Linked DNA regions of Lytechinus pictus. The protein of the gene in region 1 interacts with the protein of each later gene in a pairwise test. Links are inferred from orthologs where the notes say so. Each region holds a gene or a part of one and is shown on either strand. Other genes may lie near its edges.

Region 1 (9,459 bases):
ATTCCTCATCTTTCCGCTGAGTTTACTATCCATGAAAGTTCGTATTGCTGAATACATAGTTGCTTTTTAAAATTTACAAAGAAAGCACGAATTTCTTGTAATTGTTTAAGTCATGTCATCGACTTTAAGGTATAATTTCAAGAAGTTGATTTTCCTCTTCGAATAGATGAAATTAAGTCATTTCTTTATCCGACTTCGAATTGTTTTATTCTCCTTCACGTTTAAAAACCACTCCAATAATCAACGCACCATCAGATGAGAAGGCTGTGCAGAACTTTAGAGGTGTCGAAAATACTGATGAAGCAAGATGAAGATTCGTCAAATCGTTTCAAGAGTTCTTCTTTGATAGCTCCTCTTCCTCTTATTGCTCTGTTGAGTCTACGAAATAAAATCAAGGGCACATCTCCAAATCGCCCAGTGACGGACAAGACAATTATTATCCATAGAGTTCAGTGATGCCGTGTGATGGTGTCTTCGAAAATGGAACCCATCTCAATCATCCTGATCATCGTCAGGGTGGTATCCCGAGACTCAATCCCACTCAATCATGACAATCGACAAGTGCATGTCTGAAAGTATTTCAATCCCGTCTAGGTAAGGATTTAGAAGTATTTTTGATTGATTCCATCCAGTCTACAGTTATTTACTCAAACAAAGTAAACACTTTTCTTTAAAGTAGAGGACTTTGTTTAGAAGAATGAAAAAGATTTCCCTGTCACGGCGCGACTTCGAACATTCCTGTAAGTCTGGCCGTCATCGGAAGCGATCCTCGTCGTGAATGAAACGGACTGATGCTAACAGCTGACGTTTTCGACGGTCCGGGGAAGTAAAAGAGGAAGAAGATGTTTGCATCAGATGTTTTCTCCCGTCGGCCAAGGAAGGATGCCGAGAGAGTGAAACTTCTAATCCCGGTGTCTTAACTGGAGGAGACGTCTTTTGAGATGGGTGACGAGCTGAGCCACAAAGAGGAAGGCATTTAACTATTCCGCGCGGGGTACCATTTCTTGTCCGTCCGTCAAAATACTAAGTAGTTGATGTGCTGAATTGTTGGGAGTGCTGAAGGCCTATAGTGTTTTGGATCTTGCCCCAGAGTGGATGAAGAAAAGTCATAGAAAGTTTTGAGTGTTTTATTTTGCAAAATTTACTGATGCGGGAAAGACAGGCAGAAATATAGGTAACACTGAGATAGGAAGAAGGGGAGAGATGGGAGCAGTGCTTCCACAACTTAAAACTGGAATTCGGCTTATTTGAGCTCCAAAATTTCCTTAAATTTTGACAAAATTCCTTGAATTAGAGTCTGGAGAAAACCTGTCTATATTTTTGCTTTACAAGCCTAGTTTTTCACTGATCATGTAGAATGTTGCATACATGTATTAACAGATCAAATGCTAAGCCTAATAATAGTTGCTGAATGTTCAGGCACAGAGAAGAAAGTAAAGAAACAGAACTAACAGAAACGTCTTTATGCACAGTATGGTAGTCAGTGGCGCGCCGTGGGTCATGGCATTGGGGGGGGGGGCACCAGCAAAAATGTTGAGTCACTTAGTGGGCGCGCGAAGTGCGCTCAATTGCCACATAATTATATAACCTAATAGAGATATTTTAAGGACGGTGTCATTAAACGGTTATGTATCTCACTTATCAAATAATGCGAGCGCGAAGCGCGAGCTGATTTTTTTTTATATTCAGACCTAAGAAAGGCTATCATGAGCAAAGTTTTGTAATCATGATACGTATCTAAACAAACAATGCGAGCGCGAAGCGCGAGCTGAAATTTTTGTATATTGGCCCGAAACAGGGACATTTTAAGGACTGTTTAAGGGAATTTATAAAGAGCATATATATCTCACCATAGTCATCTAATGCGAGCGCCATGCAAGCGCTTGCTGATTTTGTTAGAATTACAGCTTACCCATGAAACACATTTTGCAGTCATTGTAATCATGAACATGATACATATCTGACTACTCAACTATTGCGAGCGCGAAGCGCGAGCTGAAAATTTTTGAAATTCAGACCTGAAGAGGGGCATTCTAAGGCTTGTTTGTAGTAATTCAATAAGACCATTATACGTATTTCATTAACCAAATGATTTTCCTCCGTTATTTTTTTTTGCCCCCCGTAGTTACGCCACTATGGACTCTATTGTGAGTTGTGTGCAGTGCACACAACTCACAATAGCTTAGTCCAGAGCTATAGTTATCACTGTGCGCAGATAAAATACATGTCTCAGCATGCCAAGGAAAAAGAAAGTATAGCACATCAGCCAGCATATAAGAAAATTTAAATAAATGTGGATTTAGTAGTCTGACATCCAGTCGTTTATTGTGTGAGAAATGAAACATTTTTAAGATTCATCATTATTTTTTTTCTTTATTTTCCTCGAAATTCAATCAATTTCCTTGAATTCTCAGATTTCCTTGGATTTCCTTAAACATTCCTAAATATTCCTTGACTTTTTTCATTTTTCCTTGTAATTCCTTGAATAGTCAAAATTCCTTTTAAAAATCCTTGTGGAGTCAAAAGATCCTTAAAATTCTCTAAAACAAGGAAATTTCCTTGCAAGTGGAAGCACTGGATGGGAGAGATACCCTGGAGAGAGAGAGAGAAGAAAGAGCTGAGAAGTGGGAGAGAGAGGGAGAGAGAGGTTAGAGGAGAAACGAAGAAAGAGCTGAGAATTGGGAGAGGGGGAGAGAGGGGGGGGGGAGAGAGGGAGTCGGAGGGGAGGGGGAGAGATCGAGAGAAGGGGGATGGGTCAAGAGGGGGCTGGGAGATGGAGAGGAAGAAAGTGTTAATATAGGGTTATTTAAAAAGGGGATTCTTAATTTCATTAGTGAGTAAAACATATTTGAAAAAAAAAACGTGCACACATATATTTTGTCGTCAATTTGCGTATATAGGCTTATTGGAGGATTTAGATAAAACAGAGTAATACCTTATATAATCATGATATTAAAAAAAAACATAACTATATACTGACCGATTTAAAATTACCATGAACAACATAACCTATACAGACCGATTTAAAATCACCATAAACAAGAAAACCTATTCTGACCCATTTAAAATCACCATACACTGACAAAGTTTTTGCAACCTATAACTGGTTGTCCGACTTTGTTTTGACTTCACCTATCTGCTTCTCTGACACGTCTCGTATTTCTTCTTCTTCTTTAAAAAAATGTATTTATCCAATAAGAGTAGCTTTATAGTAATTTTGATTCCCTTTAACTAATCATCACATATATATTTTCAATCTTTGCTTTTATTCTTAATCAACCGAGTATATTGACAAGTTTTCTTTTTCATGTTTGTTTTGTACTCTCTTTGTGCTTGAAATAATCATGAACAATTTGTTTTTTTTTTAAAGCGCCCTTCACCTCAGTCATCAGGGCGCTGATACCGTGTTATATTCAGTTCAAAACGCGTTAATATTCACTGGTAAAAATAACCAATTTTCTCGCGGTCGCTGCATGGCGGGTCCTCTCACAAATGCAGGCTTTTTTGCCTAAACTGTGTTGTTGGGTCCAAAATGCACAACAGTCGTTTCTTCACTTCAATGCCTTTACATACCGCACATTGAAGTCAACATATTCACTTGCTCCCTCGCTTATATTATTTTCTAGGAAGCTGATACCTAATATCCATATTATCTTGTCTGGATAAGCCATTTATTTTAGCTTTGCATTTAAGTGTGAAAGAAAATAAAATTTGTATGCATCTGTATATAAAAATCGCCACCGTAGGAGGGACCAACCCATCGCACCATTCCCCCCGATTGCCCCCCTCTCCTCCTCCTGGATGCGGCATAGTCTGCAGGCACAGACCCTGATTGAAACTTTTTTCATCATGGTATATTGGTATTCACACGCAAATAAAAGACTAGCTCATATTAAAACTTTAGTGAGAGGACGTTCAGTACACGAGGCTTTATAGGCTTCACATTCAGACACTTAACTCAAGTGAGGGTTTTGCAGAGCAGACTAGCTGCGGCACGCAGTCTGTGATCCACCCAAAGACCTTAGGGGATCCACCCCATGCAGGCTCCCACCCCCACCCCGACTCCCAGACTAACAACTTTCTCGACTCCATCTCCCTCTATATTTTCATTTTATAATATGACTAAAGATTTTACTGTATGGGGAGATACCAGTCTTTCAGCCAATCTGTTAAACCAAGATTTATTCAGACATGATCTGACGTTGCTCACTTTAGAAAAACAATCATGCTAATTTTTGTTTTTACACAGGATTTTCGATATGTTTATGTCAAAGTCACTTTTCAAAATGGGCACAATTTCATATTACAGCATGGTCACAACAAATACAAGGTCGGTCATAATGGGAAGGGGGGGGCATTGGGGCCAACCTATAGGGCATATGAGACCATGACTTTCGATCGCCTCAGGTTGAATTAATTAATAATCTCTGTATACTAGAGTAGATAGTATCTGTAGACATGGCAGAAACAACCAGCAAATAGACGCTCCTCGATCTTCTTCTAATTTTTCATGAAAACGGGTTCTGTTTCATAAAACTTGTTATAATGACAATTTGGTAAAAAAGCAATTAAAATCGATTTGATTGGCTGATGGTAAACTTGTTATAGAAATTGTGCAATCATTAAGTCTTATGAAACGGGCCACTATTGGATACAGAGGCAGGGCCGATGATCGGAAGGGGGGCGGGGATGATCGCCCCTATGTCGCCCCTATGCTTTTTCAATAAAAAAAGGGGAAGCCGGAAGGAAAGTGAAGAAGATGGATGAAAATTAGGCCTAAATGAAATTTTTATATGCCATGTTTCTCTATTCAATCGAGAAAAATGAATTAAATGACACCTTTGCGGGGCGTCTTAAACTAACCCCAAAATTATTCTGGCCCAATTCTTGCAGGAGAGATTATTACAGGTTGATTTATCTTATCGTTATTCATTCGTTTTCTTGTCAGTGGAGGGGAGCTAGGGTGGACCAAATTTCATCATCCCTTTTTATTTTTTATTTAATCAGTAACCCTAATATATAAGGCAATCTGACTGGGTTCCCTTGCACTGAAGTGCATTATCTCCCTTATAAGATTTTCATATAGGCCTATTAAATTTAAAAAAAATCCCTTTTGTGCTCTTTCACGAAATTAGGATCAAATTCCAAAACATTCTTCAGTTTTGGCAAAAGGGAAACCACTTGAGAGAGTCTGAGAGGAGTGGGGATGGTCGGGGGGGGGGGGGAAGATTTGAAAGCCATACCCATTTAAAGGATATTGATTATTATTGTGACAGAAAAGGGTATAGGCCTATATTAATTAAATATTTTCTTCCAAAAGGAAAAGAGACCCACGTTTGCAAGCAAAAGAAGGGGGGAAGGCAATCGCTTCGAAATGAATTTAGTTTGGTAGCCAGATATACATTTGACAAGCACATGCAAAAGATAAGTTTTAAGCCCCCAGCATATCCCCAGGATATTGTCCGGGATATTGTGGGGGCTCACGCCCCACCAGACCCAGGCACCAGACATGAATAGCTACAGGGTATAACGGGATAGGTAATTATTGTGGTTTAATTGAATTCGTGTTTCTTTATCTTCTGTTTCATTAGAGTACCATTAAAAATGAATGCACTGACAGTACCATCTTGCACTCTCCTCTGTCTCGTACAACCTTTGAACTTTTTGTTTTCAAATGACGTCATTGTCATATGAGCTGTATACCATTTGCACAATGCACAGTATATCGCTTTGTGTTATGTTGTGCACCAAAGTATCGCGTATGGTCATGAATGTATTTGCATTCGTTTGACTCTGCCTTATTTAAATGCAACTTTTAAACGATTTCGAAGCTGAAATCAATGATTTCAGAGTACGTTTCATCTTGTAACTTATTCTGCATTTGAATGAGCACGATGGCAGCCGATGAACGGCCGAGCAGACTGAAAAACAGGAAACCGGTTTTAATGAACAAATTGGAAGGTTGCAGCGGAAAGGTGAACAGTGTTGTGATTATCCCCAAAGAAGATGGAGTGATTAGTGTGAGCGAAGATAGGTAAGATTCTTGAAGTTGAAGGTCTGAAAGAATTTTCTTTATTGAGACTAATTGGTTTAAGAAAATGAAGGGGGAATGGAGGGTATCGTTTTTTTAATATGGAGCATTTTAAACTTAGTGTTACTGTTACTTTCTATAACTTAGTTTCAATTTTTTCATGACATTTGTCTGATGATTTGTCAGGGAAAGAGAGATTAAAAACAACAACAAAACATTGTGATGACTGGCTCTGAGTGATGGTGGAGTTAGGGTCAAAGACACACACTTTGTATTCAAAGGCTTGTGCAATCACATGATGGGGTAATCATGTAACCCAACCAATCGAGAAAAGGTCCTACCCACTGGGCAATTTGTTACCGATTACCAATTTTACCGGTTATTACCGGTAATATCACCCGGAAATTTGAGTAACACCAAATATTACCGTTATTACCATGTTATTACCGAAATTATAATTCCTGTTGATACCTGTTACTGTTATCACCCTGATGAAACCTACATTTACCTAGTTACAACAGGGTGATGAGGGGTAATAAGGGTAATGTTGAATGACTTTGATTGCATGGTTATAACATTGCAGACTTTAGTAATAAGAGCAATCTTACAGCAATCCCAGTGAAATTTTCAAAGTCCAAAAAATTACTGTTATCACCCTGATGAAACCAACATTTTACCCAGTTACAAACAGGTTGATAAGGGGTAATGGGTAATGTTGAAACGCTTCCATTCCCAGACAGCAAAGTATCTGGATCACATACGGTTCTTATCTGGGATATCTGGGTCCCATATGGGCCCACATGGAACCCAGATGAAAACATATACTTGAACCCACATGGTGCCCAGATAGGACTCAGATGGAAACGAGACCTCCAACCCATGCGGAACCCAGTAATATTGGGTAAATGGAGTAATATCAGATGGTAATATCAGGAAAATGCTGGGAATATTAGTTACTCATGAATATTCATTACTACAATAAATGGCCAAAATTTTAGCTAATATAGCTGTAATAATTAATGTGTTTATGTTTATGCAATTATTCCACCCAGAAAATTTTCAGAAAAATGTGTAGTTTATATATCATATTAGTCATAATCATGACATTAATTTTAGAAAAATGTTTTAGGGTTGAATAATTGTTAACCATAATTTGTCAAGTGTTGTAAACTCGCTCAATATACAGAAGTAAATGACAGGGTTTGGTGGATAGGTGTAGGATAGGATTAGGATTAGGATGTAGGATTTTAGGATAGGATAAGATGATATGGCTTAGAGTATGGAGTTGTAAAAATGTGCTTCAATGACCCTAATGACACTAATTGTTTTTTTAATGAGCCGACATTAATTGGGTAATATTGGGTAAACAGAGTAATATGAGGTGGTGATATCATTAAAATGCTGGAAATAGTAGTTACATCATACTGAGAAATATTGGGTAAATGGAGTAATATCAGGTCCAGGTAATAAAAGCGAAGGATTGGTCTACTATTTCCCTGTTATTACCCACTGTTGTTACCGTAGTAATATCCATGTTATTACCTGTTACAACCCGGGTAATGTCAGGTAAAATGCCCAGTGGGTAATTTCCTGAAATGTCAGGTTAACATGGTAACTGACCTTACGAGAAACAAAATCCCTAAATTCTCAAGAGGTCTGGTCCAATTTACCCAATGTTTTGTGAAAATTATAGCTTAAATATACAAAGCAGGGGCCGCGGAACCGGGGGGGCTGGGGGGGCTGAAGCCCCCCCACTTTTTTCCAAAACCGTGTACAAAAATGTAAAAATGACCATATGATTGTGATTTTTAGCATGGTCAGCCCCCCCACTTTTGGCTCAGCCCCCCCCCACTTTGAAAACCGTTCCGCGGCCCCTGCAAAGGGTTGGGTAAAATGGACCTTAAGTTTCAGGAATTTAGGGGGCCCTTTTCTTGTATTTTTTAAGGTTACACAAATTCCCGACCAGACGCAATAAACCTGATAAATTGCACAAGCCATATTCAAATGATCCGAACTGAAGTGAATGGCTTGAAAATAAAAGCTTAAACTTGTAATGATGTTTTATGCTGTTTTCATTATGATAGAAAAAAATATAACAAAAAATCACAATGGTCACAAAAGCAACAAATCATATCGAAATACTTCCTGACTGTATACCAGCCTCTCCCTTTTATTAAACCATATGTAAGTTGTCATAGGTGCTTGTTTTGGAAGGGGTCCTACAGCTATATACTTGTTTTTTTTTTTATGTGTCCGAGATGATGTGTCCATTCTTAAAGGAAAACAAGAAACACAGATCACAAGATGGGATGAATTAACGGTTTATGAACCAAATTTTCATTTGACAAAGTATGTTATTTAAGTGGAGGAAGTGGAAATTAGATCATCTGCCTATTTGACTAAATGACGGATTCTTGCATGTAAAGTGAGTATTAGACCAAGTGATAGTTTTAACCAAAAGACGTTTAGACCAATGTCATGGTGGGTTTTATAGTCATGGTTGTGTTCAATCTTGTCTGTTGCAAGAAATTTATCAACCATTTAGATTTTATTTCTCTTTTCTTTGACACTTGCAGGACTGTTCGGGTATGGCTAAAAAGAGATTCAGGAATGTACTGGCCTAGCATCTGTCATTCACTCTCAAGTAAGATTATAGGAGAATCAATATTTTTAGTTCAATTTTTTTTGGCATGATATATCAAATTCTCTGTTAAATTTTTGTTTATTCTTCATTATCTGCACATATTTTCAGGGCAAGGTCAAGCATTTCATGAAACAAAGATTTTCACGGTAAATTGCCAATTCGTCTATTGCCAACTCGTCCACTCATTAAATTTACATTGTCTCCCTTCATGTAGTCTAATGCCATTCCATCCATCAATATTTTTTCTAACAACCATTTGGTCCAATAATCATTTGGTCCAATCATCACTTCGTCTAATCACCATTTTTGTCTCGCCTGCATAGCAGAGCGAGACTATAGGCGCCGCTTTTCCGACGGCGGCGGCGGCGTCAACATCAAATCTTAACCTAAGGTTAAGTTTTTGAAATGACTACATAACTTAGAAAGTATATGGACCTAGTTCATGAAACTTGGACATAAGGTTAATCAAGTATTACTAAACATCCTGCCTGAGTTTCAGGTCACATGACCAAGGTCAAAGGTCATTTAGGGTCAATGAACTTAGACCTTGTTGGGAAAATTATTTTCAAAATCTTAACCGAAGGTTAAGTTTTTGAAATGACATCATAACTTAGAAAGTATATGGACCTAGTTCATGAAACTTGGGCATAAGGTTAATTAAGTATTACTGTACATCCTGCCTGAGTTTCAGGTCACATGACCAAGGTCAAAGGTCATTTAGGGTCAATGAACTTTGGCCAAGTTGGGGGTATTCTTTGAATTACCATCATAACTTTGAAAATTT
Region 2 (10,176 bases), on another chromosome or scaffold:
TTTTTCAGGGCAAATAAAATATTGATAATATGCAATATATGTCAAAAACTTTCTCCACTTGTACAAAGATTAAAGTATACATCCGAAGAATCAAAAGTATTTTATAATGACTTTATGTGGTCATCATTGTAAAGGGGAAGTATTACTAATCAGATATATAACTTCACTTTTCAAAATAGTGATCAGAGTTTGCAGAAATCAGCTCTCAAAAATGATTTATTTTCATGCCATATTTCTGCCTTCCACCGGTCCTCTTGCGAGCTCCAGCTGAGTGACGTCACACAATGAGCAGAGCAGCTGAGCTGACAGCAGCCCATTGGAGACGATCTTTCCAATCAGCGTTTTTTGCTCTTAGAATTGTTTATTGCTCTTAATATTGGTCTTGTTATATAGATAAAAGTTTGAATTTACTGAACAGTGAAAAAAAGTGCACATTTAATGTATTTTGGTAACCGATATTTAGCTTAGAATTTTTTTTTTTTCAAGAAATATATGTGAATAAACAAAGCATATTTTCACGTAGAAATCACACTTGCGTCACATTAATATTATAAACAATATAAAGCATAGACATTCTTCTTTATGACTGAACAAAAATTATGAAATTTCATTAAGTAGCAAAGTCAGGAACCACAAAAAAAACACGGCAATATCCATCGCGAAATGACTGAAATTGCAGTTGAATTGCCGAAGCATTATTAGGCAACAGCGGCGAGCGGACTTTATTTCATATATCTTAAAAATGCCTCTCCGGTAAGGCAATGGTCTGTGGCCAAATGCGTTGGCCAATGTTTTGTCATGTGCGAGGACCCTGGTTCGAAACTCGGATTTTTTTTTCTGGGCATTTTTTTTAAATTCCTTCCCCGTCCCTACCCATCTTTTTTTCTCTTTTTATTTTCTTGTGAAATTCTATTCAGACCTGTATTTATCAAATCTTGCTTCTTAATTGCTGCTTTTGATTTTCAAGTTCTTGATTAGATTATTTCTACTCTTATTTGGGATGGGAGGGGTAGAGTTAAAAGTCAAGTCCACATCAACTAAAAATTATTTGAATAGAGTAATTTCCCTTGTTGTTTTTACTCAAAACAGTCATATACACAAAACAATGATATGCAAATTAGAGTTGTCACTCACATCACATTCGTTTCTATTTTTTGTGGCATTTTGTTTTTTATTCTTTGCAGATTTGACGATAGGAAACTCTTCATCTGATCACAATAGGTTATATTTACGGAACTGTTAAAATAGTGATTATATAAATTTGAATCAAAGTTTTTATGAAATTTCCTGCAATATCTTGTTATTTTTCTTTAAATTCAAATGAATTTTTGATTGCGTGGACTTCTCCTTTACTCTTAATGTAGGGAATGCATAGCAAAATTTATCCAGAAACAAAATTGTCTTAGAATATGCAAATCAGTAATTGGACACATGTTCACTTTTCTTTCATCCAGGCCACTTCCTCACATCCACCAGGCTTTCAGTCTTATAACAAAAATGATGAACCATCACACAACAGCACACAACATTCACAGTGCTTCACAATAAATATTTCACTTCTGTTCATACATGCAATAAATATTGTGGAAAACAAATAAAAGGCGTACCCATATTCAAATACCGTTTAAAAGGACAAATATATTATACCTTTCGAGAAAAATCAGCACGTTAAATATCTGATAACAAAACATAATTATGGGGCACTGCAAGAAACTTATGTTCAATTGCAAATCAAGCGTAAGTCTTAAATTCAAATTCAAGCGTAATAAGGTCGAGTTGCAATCGCAATTCAACTACATGTTTAATCAAAGGACTTACCCTTGATTTGGGACGTGTGATTGAGTATAACATTTCTCGCAAAATGCCCTAGTAACATTAAAATTGTTCTTTCGTTTAAAGTTGTGTGTTATTATTTTTGACAAGCTGTATTCCTGTCCAAGTCAAATTTCTTAGTTCTCTCCAAAACTGTGCTCAAAATTGTTTCCAAGATTGATAAAGAAAATTTTTCTTTTGTATCATTATCAGTCCACAACTTGCAAACCGTAGGTCCTGGAAAGAGTGAAGAAAAAAATGGCTATATCCAAATCATAGTAAAAGGACATGATGGAATCTCCCAGATTGAGGTAGCAAGCAGAGACCAGAAGTCACCAGAGTCAGCAATTGTGCAGATCTGTGTGTAGAAGAGAGAAAAAAAGAAATAGTTTAAATAATCAAATCAAAGTATGAATTTAATTATCGTGATGATTGATGACGTGCGGTGGCATGTAATTCCCGGTCAACAACAAATGATAGTAGGTTAAGACACCTGAAAAGTTCCACTCAGAACACTGGTGCTCTACCTCAAGTGATGTTTGTGCAGGCCCCACTCCACTTCACTACCGCTACACTACCGTACATGTACGCCACACCTACCCGGGTAGGTGTGTAGCGTAGTGTAGGCTGTAGCAGTAGTGAAGTGGAGACTACACGAACATCACTTGAGGTACGGTGCTCTCTGAGTCTCTGTGTCATTACAAAGATTGCATTTATCTTCATTGTTGAAGGCATTACGCATGCATATATGCAGCAACACTCTTATCAGAAAGAAACACCAGACTCTAAAAGTCTAATTTTGGCCGGCACCCAAGGGTTCATTACATGCCGCCGCGCAAAGAAAATTCAAGCCATAGAAGTCGTGTGTTGTGGACCCAAGAAGTGAGATCCCAGCACGCGCGACCCACTAGTTAGAAATCCACTGCCAAACGCGGTTCGTGGTGCGAGGTTAGTATACTAATACTAACCTCGCAATACGTGTGAGTGATTTTGGCCAGGAATCAGGGTAATCACTGCTGAAAATTTGTCTGGCTTCAAGACATCGGCATCATGGTGATATATTTCTGTGTATAATAAAAACTTAAACATTCCTCTGAAACAGCAGATTTTCAGCCATGGTCCATACCAGTGCTCCTAAATAATTTAATCGCCTGCCTGAGTCCTGACCAGTTTTAGAAATCTGAAGAAAAAATCTGCTGGAATTGTGCAAAAACATTATTTCTAAAATAAAGACTTTTTAATTTTAATAGTATACGCCAAAATGCATGATTCTAAACTTATATCAGATCTGTATCTGTCATCTGACCTGAATGCATCGTCAGAACAAGTACAGTTTCCAAACATGCTTACCTTGACTTTTGACTGGATCAAACAGCGTAACCTGCAACATGCATCGGGAGCAAGTGAATGGGACCGTGCAGCTTGGAGTTTTTCAATAGTTAGTAGAGCAACACAACGAAGACTGTCGAGTGGACAAAATCAATCTTTCCAGTTCACAATTCAATAAAAACCGGGCAAAATAACACAGTTCTGGTTCCCTTATAGTCTGAAGTTGTCGAAAACAGAATTCGGATATCACAATACATGAAGAAAACGGTAAATTCGAAGAAAAATAGAGACCAGGAAGGTGAATCAGCTATCAGTGTACTGCTGGCTTGAACAGAGCTAGAGAGCGGCTGAGTGAGTCGATCATCATGTGACGTCATTATTCTCGACTGTATTTAATCGCGTTAGTGTGTGTCTGGGGGCGGCTGGGGGGCTGAGAAGGGTCTCTAATAATTTCATATCTTGCATTTCCACGACATCAATAAGACTTTTTAGTGACATATTTGTGTATAAAAAGACAAGACCTTTCCATTCATATATAATTTGTCTATAATCATCACTTTCGTGAATTTTCTTTGGATGTATACTTTAATAATAATAATAGTCAGTTCTTGTATAGCGCATAATACATTATGAATAACGTCTAAATGTGCTTCCAAAGGACTTGGATATTATTATATACCTTCTTTGTGATTAAGTGATATTTAGTGATTAATAATTGTTCCACAGAAATCTCCTACAGGTCTTTGTGACATTTGTTCAATTTTATCTGAATCATTATCATTATTTACATTTCATCTAAATTTCAGTTAAATTGGTTGGTTTTACAAAAAGTCTGTTTCTGTAGCTTTTCTTTGATGTTAATTTAAATTTCATGCAAATGATTAACAAATTGCATTTAAATTTAATTCCAATTTTTAAGTAATGATTGGTCCACAAGAAAATCTCACTCTGTGATATTTCTTTAATTTTATCAAAATTCAATATATATCATTATTACTATTTAAATTTCATTCTCAATTTCATTAAAAATGACAAAGTATATAACTGGTCCATAAAAAAATATGTTTGTGTGATATTTTCTGATGCCTCATACCCTATTTTACTGACATTTTTCCCCCTTAGCTTTGTCAAAAATTGCTGAAATGAGGGTTAACTAATCATATAAAATAGAAAAAAAAATTGAATCAATACATAGTCATTTTATTACCTTTATTACCTTTATTACCGGATCTACTGGAAAAATGCAATTACTTATGCAGTCGTGTTTCCAGGTCTATCACTGTTGCTATCTCCATCTAACTATTAAAATAACGTGTGCCTGTGTGCTGTGCCAGAGTTACTATTCCCAAGGGTGAGTATATTGCACTGCAGACCAAAACTTGTCTAACTGTGACTTGAATCTGTTCAACGTTGATGTAGTAACTATCTCTGCCGGCAAGGAGTTCCAGTCATTTACAACTCTGGCACTGAAAGTATTTTTTCTAACATCCAGTCTGCTTCTCTTCACATACAATTTGCATAGATGTCCACGTGTTGTCTGAGTTGATGCAGATGTAAAGAACATCTCCTTGTTCAAATCATCAATGCCATTGATGATCTTGTACGTCTGTACAAGATCTTGTACATATCACTATGTGCTGGTGAGTGGTCTGCATACCAAGCAGGTATTTTTGAGATGATTAAACATAATAAAAGATGAGGCATTATAATTCAATAAAAATTCAACCTTTAAAAGCTTAAATTTTGAAAGATATAGAGCCTACCTCTGAACTTGGCTCAAATTCTGGAGTAGCCAAAGGTCCTGATCTTTCCAATAGTTTTCTGATGTGTGTCCATCGTCCTGACCAGTCTGCTGTTTCTGGACTGTCCACTGTCATCCTGGAAAAAGGTAAGAAATATGATAAATTCACTCAGGGTTGCTTTATACATAACTGATTTACTTTTTAAAGAATTGGACATTCCTGTTTTTGGAAACTAAACACTTATTTGAACCTGAGTTCAACTGCCCTGATTTTCTAAAAGAAGTTCTTGCTTCAACAACTTTCAAAAGTGACAAAAGCATGAAACGCGATGAAGTTACTTCGCAAGTTACCAAAATCATGCGAACATACTGCAAACGTAAGGGCGAGCTGTCGTACTTTGCTAACTTCAGTCCATATCTGCATTACAGTGAATCCAAGAGAAGCGCTGTCTGCATGAAAATTTGAATGACAACATAGAGATCTAAGCGAAGCGGACAGCAATTCCAAAAACCCAATCGCGAAATTCGGAAAAGCATTATTGATCTTGATTTGAGACTTGCTATGATATTTGTGAACAATTACTGGTGGGGAAATTATCTCAAAGTCGGCCGGTGCGAAGCTGCATTAGCGCCAAGTAGAGAATCGGGGCCCCTGCAAGAAAGCCGCAGTCACTCACATTCAATCGCGTCCGCCAGTATCATACTCTGGACCTACATCACAATTATAAACATATGGGACTGTACAACTCAACAAAAGCACAACCCCAACATAATTGACAAATACGTACGGTTCTTCCGCCATTTTTACAAATTGTAGATACTATTCGAAAGTTCAGAAGCTATAGAATGTATTTTGGATGATCAAAAATATCAAAATAAGTCCTTTGTGGAGAGTTTGACATGAATATTAGCAGAAGTTTCCCCCACAAGTTCTGGCAGAGATACTAGTCGCAAATGTTCTCCGACTGCTGCCGGAGCTGGCGCTCGTGAAATTTGACGTCAACATCGCAATCATGGATGATATTGAAATCCCTCCTCTTCGTTCTTTGGATGATTTCATCAAGGAATCGGCCAGATTTTCTGCCCCAGCCCTAGGAAATCCAACCAGATGGGCCAATCGGGTGATAGATAATTTATTGTACTACCAATCGAATTATTTCCTCACTCTTATCGTCATTTTCCTTATTGTTGGGTGAGTGCGTTGCCCCATGCACCTTTATTTGTGTTGGAAAATTGATGAATGATGTTGTTTGGAATGGGCGTGGTCATCACTTCTTTTATTTTATCAGGTGTCAGCATTTAATCAAAGACTGGTTTCCCAGATGTTTTAGCAAACAGATTAAAGTTAAACAAAATGTTGAAGAAGCTCTCACACATAGTGCATGAGTGGATCGTAATACCGAACACTGTAAATATCAGTGTACCGGTATGACTATGAATTCAATCATATCAAACACAAAATTCTTATAAAATTCAACAAACTCATACTCTTAACATGAATACACAAAGAGCTATGACATATTAATATGTAAACATTTTGCCGAAATCATTTTTCTTTTTTACGATATCAGCTACTAGTCGGACCCCTCTTCGCATGTGAAATATATTATTTTTGGTCCCTTGAAAATGGTATTGTAATTACCGAACATGTGTTTTCCATGTAAAAGTTGAAAAAACAGCAAAATCACTGATGTTGAGAATATAAAGACTTAGAAAATGTGTTTTTGACCATTTTTCATTATCCTTCTATTCAAGTTCCATTTGGAAGGATATTGCAAAGCTTTTAGCTTATGAAATTATTTTCTGACGCCTATGATTCGTGCGTTTGGTAATACAAGGAATGGAATATGGAATATGATACTAGTTGTCATCAGACTACCCAAAAATATTTTATTAGAATTTAGATCTAAGCCTTGAAGATTGTTATTGTTTGAGAAGACAAAGAAAATGAAAATAATAGCAAAATTACTGCTGATTATATGACAATCTGATGCATTTAGTAAAAATATTTATACCCAAGTCATGCATGTTCTGACAAGTTGTAGGCAATATGAAAATTTCATGCACTCTGCAAGCAATATTTCATAAAATGAAGTTTGGACAAAATTTCAGATTACAAACTTTCACATACATTTGTGCTTGACATTAGTTTTTGTTGTAATCAAGGCATAAGATGATGCTTTTATCTACTAACATGTCAGGACATTGCCCCCCATAATTATAAAGACAAATATATCAATATTGTATGAATACAATGATATAGTTGGCCATTTCCTTTCATATTCTGCAGCTGTATAAACCCTGTTCAGATGTTATGGGGCTTAGCCATCGTGATCGCAGCATTCTTCGGATTTGGTTACTGGTCTGCCAATAAGAGAGAAGTAAACGATTTCAAGAAAGCCCATCCAGTGATCTGTCTAATTGCACTCTGCTTGGTGATCTGGCTTTTCATGTATCTCTTTGGAAGTATTCTCGTTCTCATCTGGGGCTTGGCTGCACCAGCAGCTGGTAAGACTCGTGGGGCATTGCAAGAAAGTTGCAGTCAATTCGGTGGATTCACCATACGGTGCGGCATCTATCGGTTGCAGCAGACAGGCCAATTTCTAACTTCGGGGTCGACATGACGCGCAGGCGCAGGCAGCGCACAGTGTTATGTGACTGATTCTTCAAAAATGAAAACCATATGGCATGAAGCAGAGTAAGAATTCATCAAAAAACGGTCTAAATTTCGCAAATAAAAATGCAGTAAATTTCCCTCCCACCTCCTGGACCCTGGTACACTGCATGATTTTATGGAAGCCGGCCAAACCGCATCAGCCAGTGCAGCATTTCGCATGCATGCACACAACAGAATAGGTGATACACCATATTGTGAATCCACCGAATTGCAAGTCAAGTTTAGGTCCCAATATCAACCATAACTCTAGCAATTAATGCTTGCCTGCTCGTCTGCTTCTTGCAGTAAGAAGTAAACATCAATTTTGCTATAGTTACAATCGATAGAAATTTACAATTGATTGCAGATATTTTCTTGTGACACTACATGTATTTCAGAAACCTTTTGTTTGAACATATGGGTCTCAAATGTTTTATGACAGCAACAGTTACAATGAATTTAGGCCTACTACAAAAAAATGTTAAATTAGAAGGCTAGGTGTCCAGACACATTACTTCCTATCTTTCAGGAAATATTGAGTAATTCCGTTCAAAGAGGTCAAATTGTCATGAGGAAGTTGAAAGAGGAATCCCAATAGTTTTTTTAATCAATGGGTTTTTAATTTGCCGGTAATATTTTCATTTGTTTATGATTCACATGTACACAGTCATGTGTGTGATCTTTAGGCAGAATGGTCATTCACATTTCGGACTTTACATTTCAATAATTTTCAGGCAAGGCCATTTTTCTCAATGGGAATTTTTCTATATAATGGCATAAATGGGAAACCTATGACTTTGTGCTTATAAAGTAATCTTTACAGACAGTGAGGGAAGTACATGTATGAAGGCCAATCAATAGGGTATCTATAGCTTTGGATTACATCAAGCACTACGATGATTGCAGATTTCTTGAAAGTAAGAGCGCATGTGTAATTCTGAAGGAAAAAAATATATACAGCAAGTCCCTGAGGGTGCACACATCATTGGTGGTAATGGCTTCCTGAGTGATTTTAATGATGGTTTGCATTTGTTTCAATTTTTTTGTGTGATTATCAGAATCTTCATTCTTCTTTGTCTTCCTACAGTGATCTTCATCCACGCCTCCCTGCGGATGCGCAACATGAAGAACAAGATGAGCAAGAAGCTGGAGTCCCTTGGTCTAAAGAGAACACCCATGGGCATCATCCTCTTTACCATTGGTCTGGAGGAGCAAGCAAGGTCATGACTAGAGAAAATGGGGTTTCAACTGTGCAACCAGAGACTGCTTGAAGGCAACGAGCACACCTTCAGGCATCGTTTGGAGAGAGGCGAGGAGGTAGAGGGAAGCTGGTACCACGTACCTCACGAAGGAGAGGTAGTCACTCCCCGTCAACAATCATTTCGTACATTGGCGACTTTAGGAATAATTATGAAGACCCTTCTCCCATCAAGAAATAAGTCTTCTTCAAGTAAGTCATCTGAAAATCGTTCGTCTGGAAGTAAACTTTCGCAAAATCGTCCACAATCACTTGCTCCTGTTGAGCTGGCACAAGAAGCAAAAGAAGATGTTGTTACTAAACAACCAAGAAAAATAAAGTTTAGCTACAAACCTAAATTGGATTAAGAATCAATATATTACAGATCATTGACTCTGGCAAAAGGTTGGTACTGTTATTGAGTAATAAAAAAAACCACTTTTACCGGAAGCCAAGAGTATTTATGGATAACTATTTCAAAGTATAACAAAACTATATATTATTCAGGGTTTATTAAAATTACACAATTGGATGTTCTTTCAAAGAATGTCATCTCCCGCTAGATGTGGCACAACTGAAATACAAGTTATTCACAAAATATTGTACGGGGTTTTGTACATTGCCCTTGCATATTTGTGAAAATCAATTTCATGGACAAGTATACAAGCTGTACTTCTTTGTATTAAAACAATTGATGAGTCCAGACAAGTAGTTTTGATACAGTTTGCAAATTTTGAACTTTACAATTTAATATTTATGATAACAGTATTTATACATGTTTAGCCTATAAATAAGCTTATTAATAAATGCAATGTGTCAGGACTGTTTGTTGTGAATGGGAATTATTATTTTTTATTTGTAACAAGTATCATATACATGTAGTTGTTATTCCTACTAATAATGGATTCATTATAATTTTATAACTTAACTAAGAATGGGATATATCTTTAGTAGTTTAGTCTAATGGGAAACATGCTTATGGTCACAGATATATGTAGTGAATGGTATTAGGTGGTCAGGTGAAGAATATAGAGGGAAATGTATGAAGAAAGACACAGCCAAAGTAAAAAGAAAGAAATAGTGCATATATATTGTTTTCATGGTGTTCCTTCTTCACTTCAACTCATATGGACAGTAATAGTAATTGCATACTTGCCAAGAATGTATCAATACATCCTAAAAAACTAAATCATTAAGAAGTATTGTCTATGTATAAACAGTAGAGAAAAAAATTTCAATATCTTTCATTTTCTTTGAATCTCCACATTTCCCCATTTTGCAATTTGTGAATATGAAGGTATATTAACATGCCAGTGAATGTTCATGTAATATATTTGTATGATAACAATGAATAATATAATGTGTAATATAATGTGCAAAGTATGTCTATAACTTTTGGAC

Evidence for each region.
Region 2: the proteins of WD repeat and FYVE domain-containing protein 2-like (region 1) and PRA1 family protein 2-like interact in a two-hybrid assay, tested with the Caenorhabditis elegans proteins (2 studies listed by BioGRID). The link is inferred for Lytechinus pictus from reciprocal best matches to the Caenorhabditis elegans genes wdfy-2 and praf-3.

Annotation. Positions count from the first base shown.
Region 1 is NC_087260.1:22,059,099-22,068,557, forward strand, and holds the start of WD repeat and FYVE domain-containing protein 2-like, read left to right. Parts: upstream 1-5,682; 5' UTR 5,683-5,885; coding exon 5,886-6,034; intron 6,035-8,607; coding exon 8,608-8,675; intron 8,676-9,459. UniProt on the Caenorhabditis elegans protein: Plays a role in coelomocyte endocytosis.
Region 2 is NC_087247.1:8,073,188-8,083,363, reverse strand, and holds the start of PRA1 family protein 2-like, read left to right. Parts: upstream 1-5,519; 5' UTR 5,520-5,670; coding exon of another isoform or gene 5,671-5,684; 5' UTR 5,685-5,895; coding exon 5,896-6,074; exon of another isoform or gene 6,075-6,124; intron 6,125-7,172; coding exon 7,173-7,390; intron 7,391-8,625; coding exon 8,626-8,765; 3' UTR 8,766-10,176. Other genes in the region: NEDD8-activating enzyme E1 catalytic subunit-like, read right to left, coding at 4,905-5,019, 5,671-5,684.